Linked DNA regions of Rattus norvegicus. The protein of the gene in region 1 interacts with the protein of each later gene in a pairwise test. Links are inferred from orthologs where the notes say so. Each region holds a gene or a part of one and is shown on either strand. Other genes may lie near its edges.

What was found.
Region 2: the proteins of Nfkbid (region 1) and Ss18 interact in a two-hybrid assay, tested with the Homo sapiens proteins (2 studies listed by BioGRID and IntAct). The two-hybrid records come from large-scale screens. The link is inferred for Rattus norvegicus from reciprocal best matches to the Homo sapiens genes NFKBID and SS18.

What each region holds. Positions count from the first base shown.
Region 1 is NC_086019.1:94,806,963-94,811,403, forward strand, and holds the start of Nfkbid (NF-kappa-B inhibitor delta), read left to right. Parts: upstream 1-1,603; 5' UTR 1,604-3,237; intron 3,238-3,386; 5' UTR 3,387-4,179; coding exon 4,180-4,185; intron 4,186-4,441. UniProt on the Homo sapiens protein: Regulates the expression of IL-2, IL-6, and other cytokines through regulation on NF-kappa-B activity. Functions in the regulation of inflammatory responses.
Region 2 is NC_086036.1:6,057,747-6,061,556, forward strand, and holds part of Ss18 (protein SSXT), read right to left. Parts: intron 3,387-3,810; coding exon 3,282-3,386; intron 236-3,281; coding exon 143-235; intron 1-142. UniProt on the Homo sapiens protein: Appears to function synergistically with RBM14 as a transcriptional coactivator. Isoform 1 and isoform 2 function in nuclear receptor coactivation. Isoform 1 and isoform 2 function in general transcriptional coactivation.

The DNA.
Region 1 (4,441 bases):
TAAAGAGGCACACACACACACACACACACACACACACACACACACACACACAGAGCCAGGGGAGAGAGGGAAAAGCAACCATATAGGGAAGCCGAGGGCAGAAGCAAGGGAGGAGGAGACCCAACTCCCAGCAGTGTTAGAGAGAGAGAGAGAGAGAGAGAGAGAGAGAGAGAGAGAGAGAGAGAGAGATTGATTTGGTCATCACAGTTCAGTGCCAAGGAAGGTCACCAAGTGAGAACTGAGACTATCCATCCCCTAGCGAACTGGGAATTCCTGTTTGGCTCATACTTCTCCATCCCCTGTGTTCAGGAAAGTGTCTCCTTTATGCTAACAGGGTTTCTTAAATGGTGAATAAGTAAGTCAGACATGATTGTCCAGCACTTGGGAGACAAGTGAGAAAAATGGCTGTGAGTTCAAGGCCAGCCTGGCTGATTTAGCAGGTTCGTGGCCAGCCCAGCTGCTTACATGTAGGAAGCCCCTGTCTCAAAAACAAAGTGTTGGAAGGAAGATTGTTCGGCAGATAAAGGTTCTTGACGTGTGTTAGAACCCCATAACCCTCACAAAAAGGCTGAAATCTACAGAGGGCTTTGGAGCACATGTTCTTCCACCTCCGGGGGGAGTTCGCACACACATGTTTTTAATGCAAATATTGGAACCAGACAATGTGGCATATGCCTTTAATCCCATCACTGGGGAGACATTTCTGTAGATTTCTGTGGATTCCAAGCCCAGCCTGGTCGACATAGTGAGTTCCAGGACAGCTAGGGCTACATAGTGAGACCCTGTTTTGAAGGGGGGCGGGGGAAACCTGAAAAACAAAACAATAAAAGCCAATATTGGTAGTTGATATGGTGGCCAATTCTCTGTAACCCAACATTTGGGAAATGGAATCAAGAGAATCAGGAGTTCAAGGTTATCCTTAGTTACCTAGAGTTCTAGGCTGACCTGAGCTACACGAACCCCCTCTTCGCCCTTCACACACACACACACACACACACACACACACACACACACACACACACACACTCAAATCAAAACTGAAACCAAAGCGGGAGAAAAAAGCTTTATAAATGAAAGTTAACTCTAAAGAAGCAAACAGCCACGTGGAAAAGAGAGGTTTAAGGCACCTCTACGACCCTTGCCTAAGGACTTCTCCAAGAAGCCATGGGGTCTAGGTTCATGGTCATCCTCTCCCGGAAGACCCCACAGTACTTCTCTGCTTGTGCACAGCCAAGTCAAGGCCTCCAGTATCTCCTTGGTCAGAGACTCAAAATTCCAGATCCCCATGTCTCCCTCTAGAAAAAGGGAGGATCCTTAAGCACCTACTTCCAGGGAGACTAGGCGATGACACTCTTCAAGGTCAGCCCCTCCCATTCAGAGACTAAGCTCTCCCGCTTCACCCGGGACTCCTAGAACTGTGGGCGGGGCTCCGCCTTGAACCAGGCGTGGCCAAAAGAAGAATTTAAAAACTCGCGGGGGACCTGGCTTTGGATCGGGGGACCCGGCGGCGGCTCCGCGGGGCAAGCAGCGAGGCTGGCGCAGCGCCGAGGCCGCGGCCCTGGGGGCCCACAATCTGCATCCAAGAATCCTCGAGGTAAGGGATTAACCTTGGGGTAAAGCGAGGCACGCGCCTTTCTGAATGCTTTGAGGGTTGACTGGAGCGTAAAGCTGGGCCCTGAGAGTTGGGGATTCCCGACGTTTAAGGGAGCTGGCTGAAGAGGAGAGGCTGGGATCCTGGACTTCTGAGTCCTGGGAGTGTTGGACATTAAGAGAGGTATCTGGGATCTTAGGGGTTGGGGTGCAAGGACTAGGAAGCCTGATACCGGGGATTCTGAAAGAGGACGAAGTGACTCGGACTCCTTCACCCAAGGAGGGGTTGCATTGCATCCTTCGAGTTGCCGTTATGGACGCAGGCTTGGGTCTTGAAGGTCGGGCGGCGGACCTCAGGGGTCCACTCTGGTCGAGACCAGCCCCGCCCTGGGATTTCCCAGCGCTCTACCGGTGCCGGGTGCCTGGGCCGAAAAGGAATTCCCCGTGAGCGGAGATTCCACGGGCGCCGCGCTTCGCTGCGTGCCCCGCCTCCGAGCCAGACACCTGCGGCGTGCGCGTGCGGAGCGGAACTGGGAGGTGGAAGATTCCCTTGCGTGAGCGCCGTGACGTCAGCGCGCGGCGTCTTTTCTCGAGGGTTTCCGAGTCGGTCCCCGTCTGGCTTTAACCCTTCTTGCGCTGGAGTCAAAGCTGGGAAGTCTGAGCTAGGGATTTGCTCTTCTCCGGTGGAGGGAACCGGACTTGCAGGTCCCAGAGGAGGCTGAGGGGGTCTGTACTCCTGGGTTTCTGGATGAGAGACTGCCGCGCCTATGGGATACAGGGGCATCGCGGGATGGTGGGTCCCTGCTATTCCCAAGTCGGCCGAGGTGGGGACAGGAGGTTTGCGACACCAGATATCTGGATTTCTGAGGAACTACTCTGCCACTGATTCTGGCAGAGAGCATGAAGCAAGAGTGATGGTCCAAGACTGTGCTGAGGACACTAGGCTTGCGCCTAGTCCCAACATGTCAGATTCTAGAACAGAGAAATTATTTTGCTGTTGTTTTGAGACCGAGGTCTCAGGTAGCCCAGGCTGGCCTCTCACTGATATGTAGATGAGCTTGGCCTGCCACGAGAATGCTGGATTGCAGGGGTGTGCCTCTACTTCTAGTTTAAAACAGAGACATTGGGAACCTGGAAATGCCTTTTCAGGAAGTTGAGATTGGCAAACCCCACCCCTCTTCAAGTGTTAGGCCTGGTAGCCTAGGTTGGGATTTTTTACGGATGTGGTGATGCTTCAGAGGAGTGGGATGTCTCCGGAGGAGATAGATGCTTCAGAGAAATGCTAGCCTCCCCACTTCCTCAGTTTCCACTACGGTGGTGGAAAGTTGGTGCAGAGGAAAAGCGTGGAGTAAAAGGAAGGAAATGGCGGAGGCGGGCCCTGCACTCAACATCTTCTATTGGCTTTGTAGTTCTCCAGTTTTTCCGCGCTCGAGGGAAAGGAGGGCGCGCGCCCACATCCACTCCCAGCCACCCACCGCTGCCGCTGAGGGTGCATTCGGGTGACTTAAATATTCCTGATGACTTCCTTCTGTCTTCCCACACACAGTGAGTCGGCCTGAGCGCAGTCACTGCCCAACACAGACCGTAAAGAAGCTTCTGGAAGAACAGAGGCGCCGACAGCAGCAGCCAGAGGCTGCTGGGGTACCGGTGAGTCTCTGGAAATCCCGCATAGGACATGAAGCCATGTGCTCTGGGGGAGATGGGAGTTGTAGTCCTGACTCTGATGCTTTACATGTGGCGGGGGATGGACCTGAAGAATCTTGCAGATATATAAATTCATTTTCTTTGCATTGCAGGGACACTTCTCCCCTCCTCTGGTCCAGCCACTGACCCCATCTGTGAGCGAGTCAGAGGCAGGTAAGAATAGAAACTTAGCTCGACCCACCTCTCAGAACTTTGGGGACCGAGGAGACAGGCAGCTCTCATTATTGTTGAGACATATGGGAAATTTTAATGGCTGGCCTGCCATTGTTGCACATGTCTGTATTTCCAGTACTCCGGAGGTTGAGAGGAGAGGATTGCCATTGGGTTTGAAGCCACACTTTTTTTTTTTTTTAAACTAGCGAGTTCCAGGCCACCTAGAGCTATCTAAGACACCTGTCTTCAAACAGAAACCCCTGGATTTTGACATTGGTTTTCAATAGCCCAGTAGTCTGTGACTGTTGCCCTCAGGGACTCAGGGTTTGAGATTCCAGGAATCCAGATCCCAGTTGCTTGAGACCCAGGCGGCCAAGCACCCCAGCTTGTTGATGTCCCAGGATTGGAGGACTCAGCTCTCAGTGCCTCAGTGCCTCAGTGCCTCAAGAGACTCCAGGTTCACTATCCCTGGCTGTGTCTCTGGGCTCTAATAACAAGCTGGTCCTGCCCACCCTCTCGGTTTCAGGCCATACTCACTTCCCTGCCTTCCAAGAGACTGTGGATTCTGGACCTGGCAACCTGGCTCCCCCTTCAGGCTTCACAGACTGGGACTCCAGCATCCATGCTCCGTATGCAGAAGGCTCTTTCCCATACTCTGCTTCTGAAGGCTTCCTGACTCCTGATCTCTACCCAGTGTCAGACCCAGGCCGGTCAGGCCCATTTCCCCTGGCAATGGAGGTAAACTATAGAGTGGGGACAGATGCTTAAGGGCCCCTAAAAATTTCCCCGTGGTGCCCAGACTGGTGGTGCAGGCTTGTCATCCCAGCTCTTCAGGAAGCAGAGGTAGAAGGATTGCCTGGGCTACAGAATGAGTTCAAGGTTGCCCTAGGCACATGAATAAGACCTCGTCCTTTAAAAAGAAGAAGTGGAAAACAGAAAGACTATTGGGAGTTTTGCTCTGTGGTCCAGCTTTTTCCTAGCGTGCGTGAGGCCA
Region 2 (3,810 bases), on another chromosome or scaffold:
CCAGCCAGCCACTGGGACTCTAGGAGAGCTTTGCGTGGGAAGACGCTGTCCTGTGCGAGACCTGCGGCTGCTGGGGAGGGCCGTGCGTGTGCGTGTGCGTGTGCGTGTGCGTGTGCGTGTGCGTGTGAAGGTATGCAGATACCTCCTTCGCAGTAATGTGGTGAGGACTCCTCATAAGGCCTATCGTAGCCTTGTTCAGGATACGACGGTTGCTGATAACCGTAATCATTATGACCTACATCAATTCGACAAGAGACAGGAAGAAACGTTAATGGCCACTGAGTGAAAACCCTACAATTAAACTTTAAGATAAAACTGAAGAAAAAAAAAAGAAATGGAAATACATAAAAAAATAATTTTAATTGCATTAGCAAGTATTTACCAACGTGAATGCTTTCACCATGAGATTACAGCACACTATTTCAAGGCAAAGAGCAGTAGTCTTAGAAATTTACACTCATCCTCCTAACTGCGATAATCCTCACTGAGGGCAAAAAACCCTTGCATTCTATTTTAAAAAGAGAATGAGAACATTTAGGCCTCTCACGTGTAAGTAAATCGAGTCAAATCAGAATGAACACGGGATGCAAGTTATGACATCTTATCAAACCCCTGTTCTGAGGGTGGACATTTCCACAGCATACACTAAAAACAATATAAAATATATGAGGTCCAAAAAAAAAATCATTTTTTTTAAAGATAAGGTCTCTTACCCTGGGTTTCTGGAGCTCCCTCTGTAGACCAGGCTGGCCTCAGATTCACAGGGACCCAACTGACTGTCACCCAAGTAAGAATGTATCTTATAGTGCTGTCATTTTAAACATCTTTAGAAATATTTCTAGAGTATTCTGCATATCAACATTCATAAAATGTGTATTTCCTGAGTTGGAGAACACCTTAAGTTTTATGACTCAGTAACTTCCACCAGTAGACTAGACTAATCTTTTATTCTTTAATGTTTCACCTAAAAACAAAATGCAGACTAATGTCTTCAGTTGCTAAAACTTGGTACTAATGTTCCGAAAAGGCCTAGGAGGAAGGACTATAGTTCCACATAAATATTACATTCACCGCATTAGTCTGAAAGCCCCCAAGCCACTTTAAGAGTTGGCAATACATGACCGCCAGCTTACTAAGGCCAGTGGTCAGCTGAGATAGAAGTACCACCGGAATCCACTCACGTAGCTGCTGCCCACAGCAGCTCTCCTGTTCTCATGACAGGTCTGCAATGTGAGAGCAAGACCACATGGCCTACAAGGACCAAATCTTTGCTGCCTGGCCCTCTGCAGAAAATCTCAGCCAAGCACTCGTTCATGTACTTATGGGCAAGGTCATCTGGACCTGAGAGAAGATGCTCAATTGCCTGGGGAGTGCAATTGAGGGGAACACTCTGTCAAGACCTACTGTACTCACACCCGTGAAAACATTACTACTTAAATGAAGAACAAGCTAGTACACGTAATTATAGCTTTACGTTTTAACAGTTAGAAAAATAATGTGCCTATTTTTAACAAGAAGGTTTTAAAATAAGGCAAATTTCACATTTCTGAAAATGTTCAGGACCCGAAACCATCAAGTCCAACACAACTGCTTAAGTGCACTTTAAAGCTGACTTTAAAGGGTAATTTATTCTTAGATTACTTATGTTTACCACATAGATGTCACCTTTTAAATTTTTCTGTAAATGTACTATTATTAAAGTTTAAATTTAAGAAAAAAGCTTAATATATCCACAAAGAATTAAGGAGAGGAAAAGCACTGACATTCTGAATACCAATGGCAAGAAAACCTGAGATAAAAGCACACAGTTCTAACCAGAGTTGCACACATCATTAACAAACTTCTTGTGTGTAAAGCTGGTGACAGTCGGTGTTTAATGCAGATCCCCCTTTATGCTTCATGCACTGATGAGAAGCAGCAGATGAAATGCCACTTGAACACAGACCCCATCTTGTTGGTTTCCATCAGGTTCTAGCCAAGAGGTCCTAAAACTTCAGCCTGAAGTTTCTTTGCCATATAATTACATTAAAAATAACAAAAGAGGGGTTGGGGATTTAGCTCAGTGGTAGAGTGCTTGCCTAGCAACCGCAAGGCCCTGGGTTCGGTCCCTAGCTCCGAAAAAAAAGAAAAAAGAAAAAAAATAATAACAAAAGAGTTTACTTGATAAAATACTTTAGCAAAGCACTTCACTAAAAGACAAATTACCCCATGATATTTCTTTGTACCCACTAAAAAGAAATTATTTTACCAGTTCTACATGTTTAGATAATTTTTCTTCAACATTAAAATACAAAATTTTCAAACAAAAAAATGCCTAGTAAAAATCTACTTGTGCACTTAGATTATTTTCCATGTACTTTCTTAGTGTGTAGCATTCTTTAGTGGTAACTTCTTACAATTCATGTTCCCTTTTAAAGGAGGTGGGGGAGAAGCCACTAAATTAAAAATCCAAATGCCTTGGCTATTCAGCACGATTCAGTGCACCTTATCTATTGCTATATTGTGGACAAGCATTTCCTCAATAGCAAGCATATAAGGCACAATTACTTCCCAAGAATGGAACATAAATAAATGAAACAAGAACTACATTCTCTATAGTCTTACAGAGCTATATTCTTAATATAAGCAAAACAATGGGTGAACTTTATAGCAGATGAATTAAATCTCTCTAAAAATACCAAGGAAGAAGAAGAGGAGGAAGAGGAAGAAGAGGAGGAGGAGGAGGAGGAAGAGGAGGATGAAAAAGAGGAAGAGGAGGAAGAGGAGGAGGAAAAAGAGGAAGAGGAGGAAAAAGGGGAAGAGGAGGAAGAGGAGGAGGAAAAAGAGGAAGAGGAGGAAAAAGGGGAAGAGGAGGAAGAGGAGGAGGAGGACGAAAAAGAGGAAGAGGAGGAAGAGGAGGAGGAAAAAGAGGAAGAAGAGGAAAAAGAGGAGGAGGAGGAAGAGGAGGAGGAGGAGGAGGAAAAAGAGGAAGAAGAAACCTGTAGAGCATTTGCTTTAGGCTCAGATGAACAATCCTAAACATAAAAAGACCCTCTTTCCCACGAGAGACACTGGAGTGATGGAAATGTAGCTCCAGATAGCACCAACAGTGACCACACAAATATACCTTGAGTTAATTACAAACCAGTGTCCTTCTTGTCAGAGCTATACAATACCAAATGCTTCTACATGAAGAAACAAGTTGGTAGTTTCTTCGCCCCTCATTAAAAAGTTGTGAAATGCTTTCTACATTAATACTGGGCAGGGATAGAAAACGGGAAGGGTAACATTAGAGAGATTACCATCAGGGTAATATTGCTGGTTCATGCCTTCTGGAGGACCTTGTCCACCATGACTGTATTGGTCCCCATAATAGTCTTCCTGGCCTGAGTACTGCTGTGGTGGGCCTGAAAAACCACAACCAGTCAAGACATAAATCATTTGTTCTCTGCGTCATCCAAGGCGATCTTTCTAATCTGCTGTTGCGAGAGACTACTTCTGAGCAGGAGACTCCCACAGTGCTTGGGCACTATTCCCATGCACACACACACACACACACACACACACGCACACGCAGGTCCACACGTCACGGTTATCAAATCAGTAAGACCATACACATAATACCAAACAATACCAACTCAGAAAAGCAACCTCTGAAGCAGAGGCTGAAGCAGGTGGAAACTGATTTCTTTTTACTTGTTACATTAGTATTAAGGCATTTTGATATAAAATTGGCTTTGTTCTTTGTCATATACTTAGTAACTTCTAAAAAAGGGAGAGAGGGCATTTTCTGATGTAAATGAGTAAATTTGATAGAAAAGTTTCTGATGT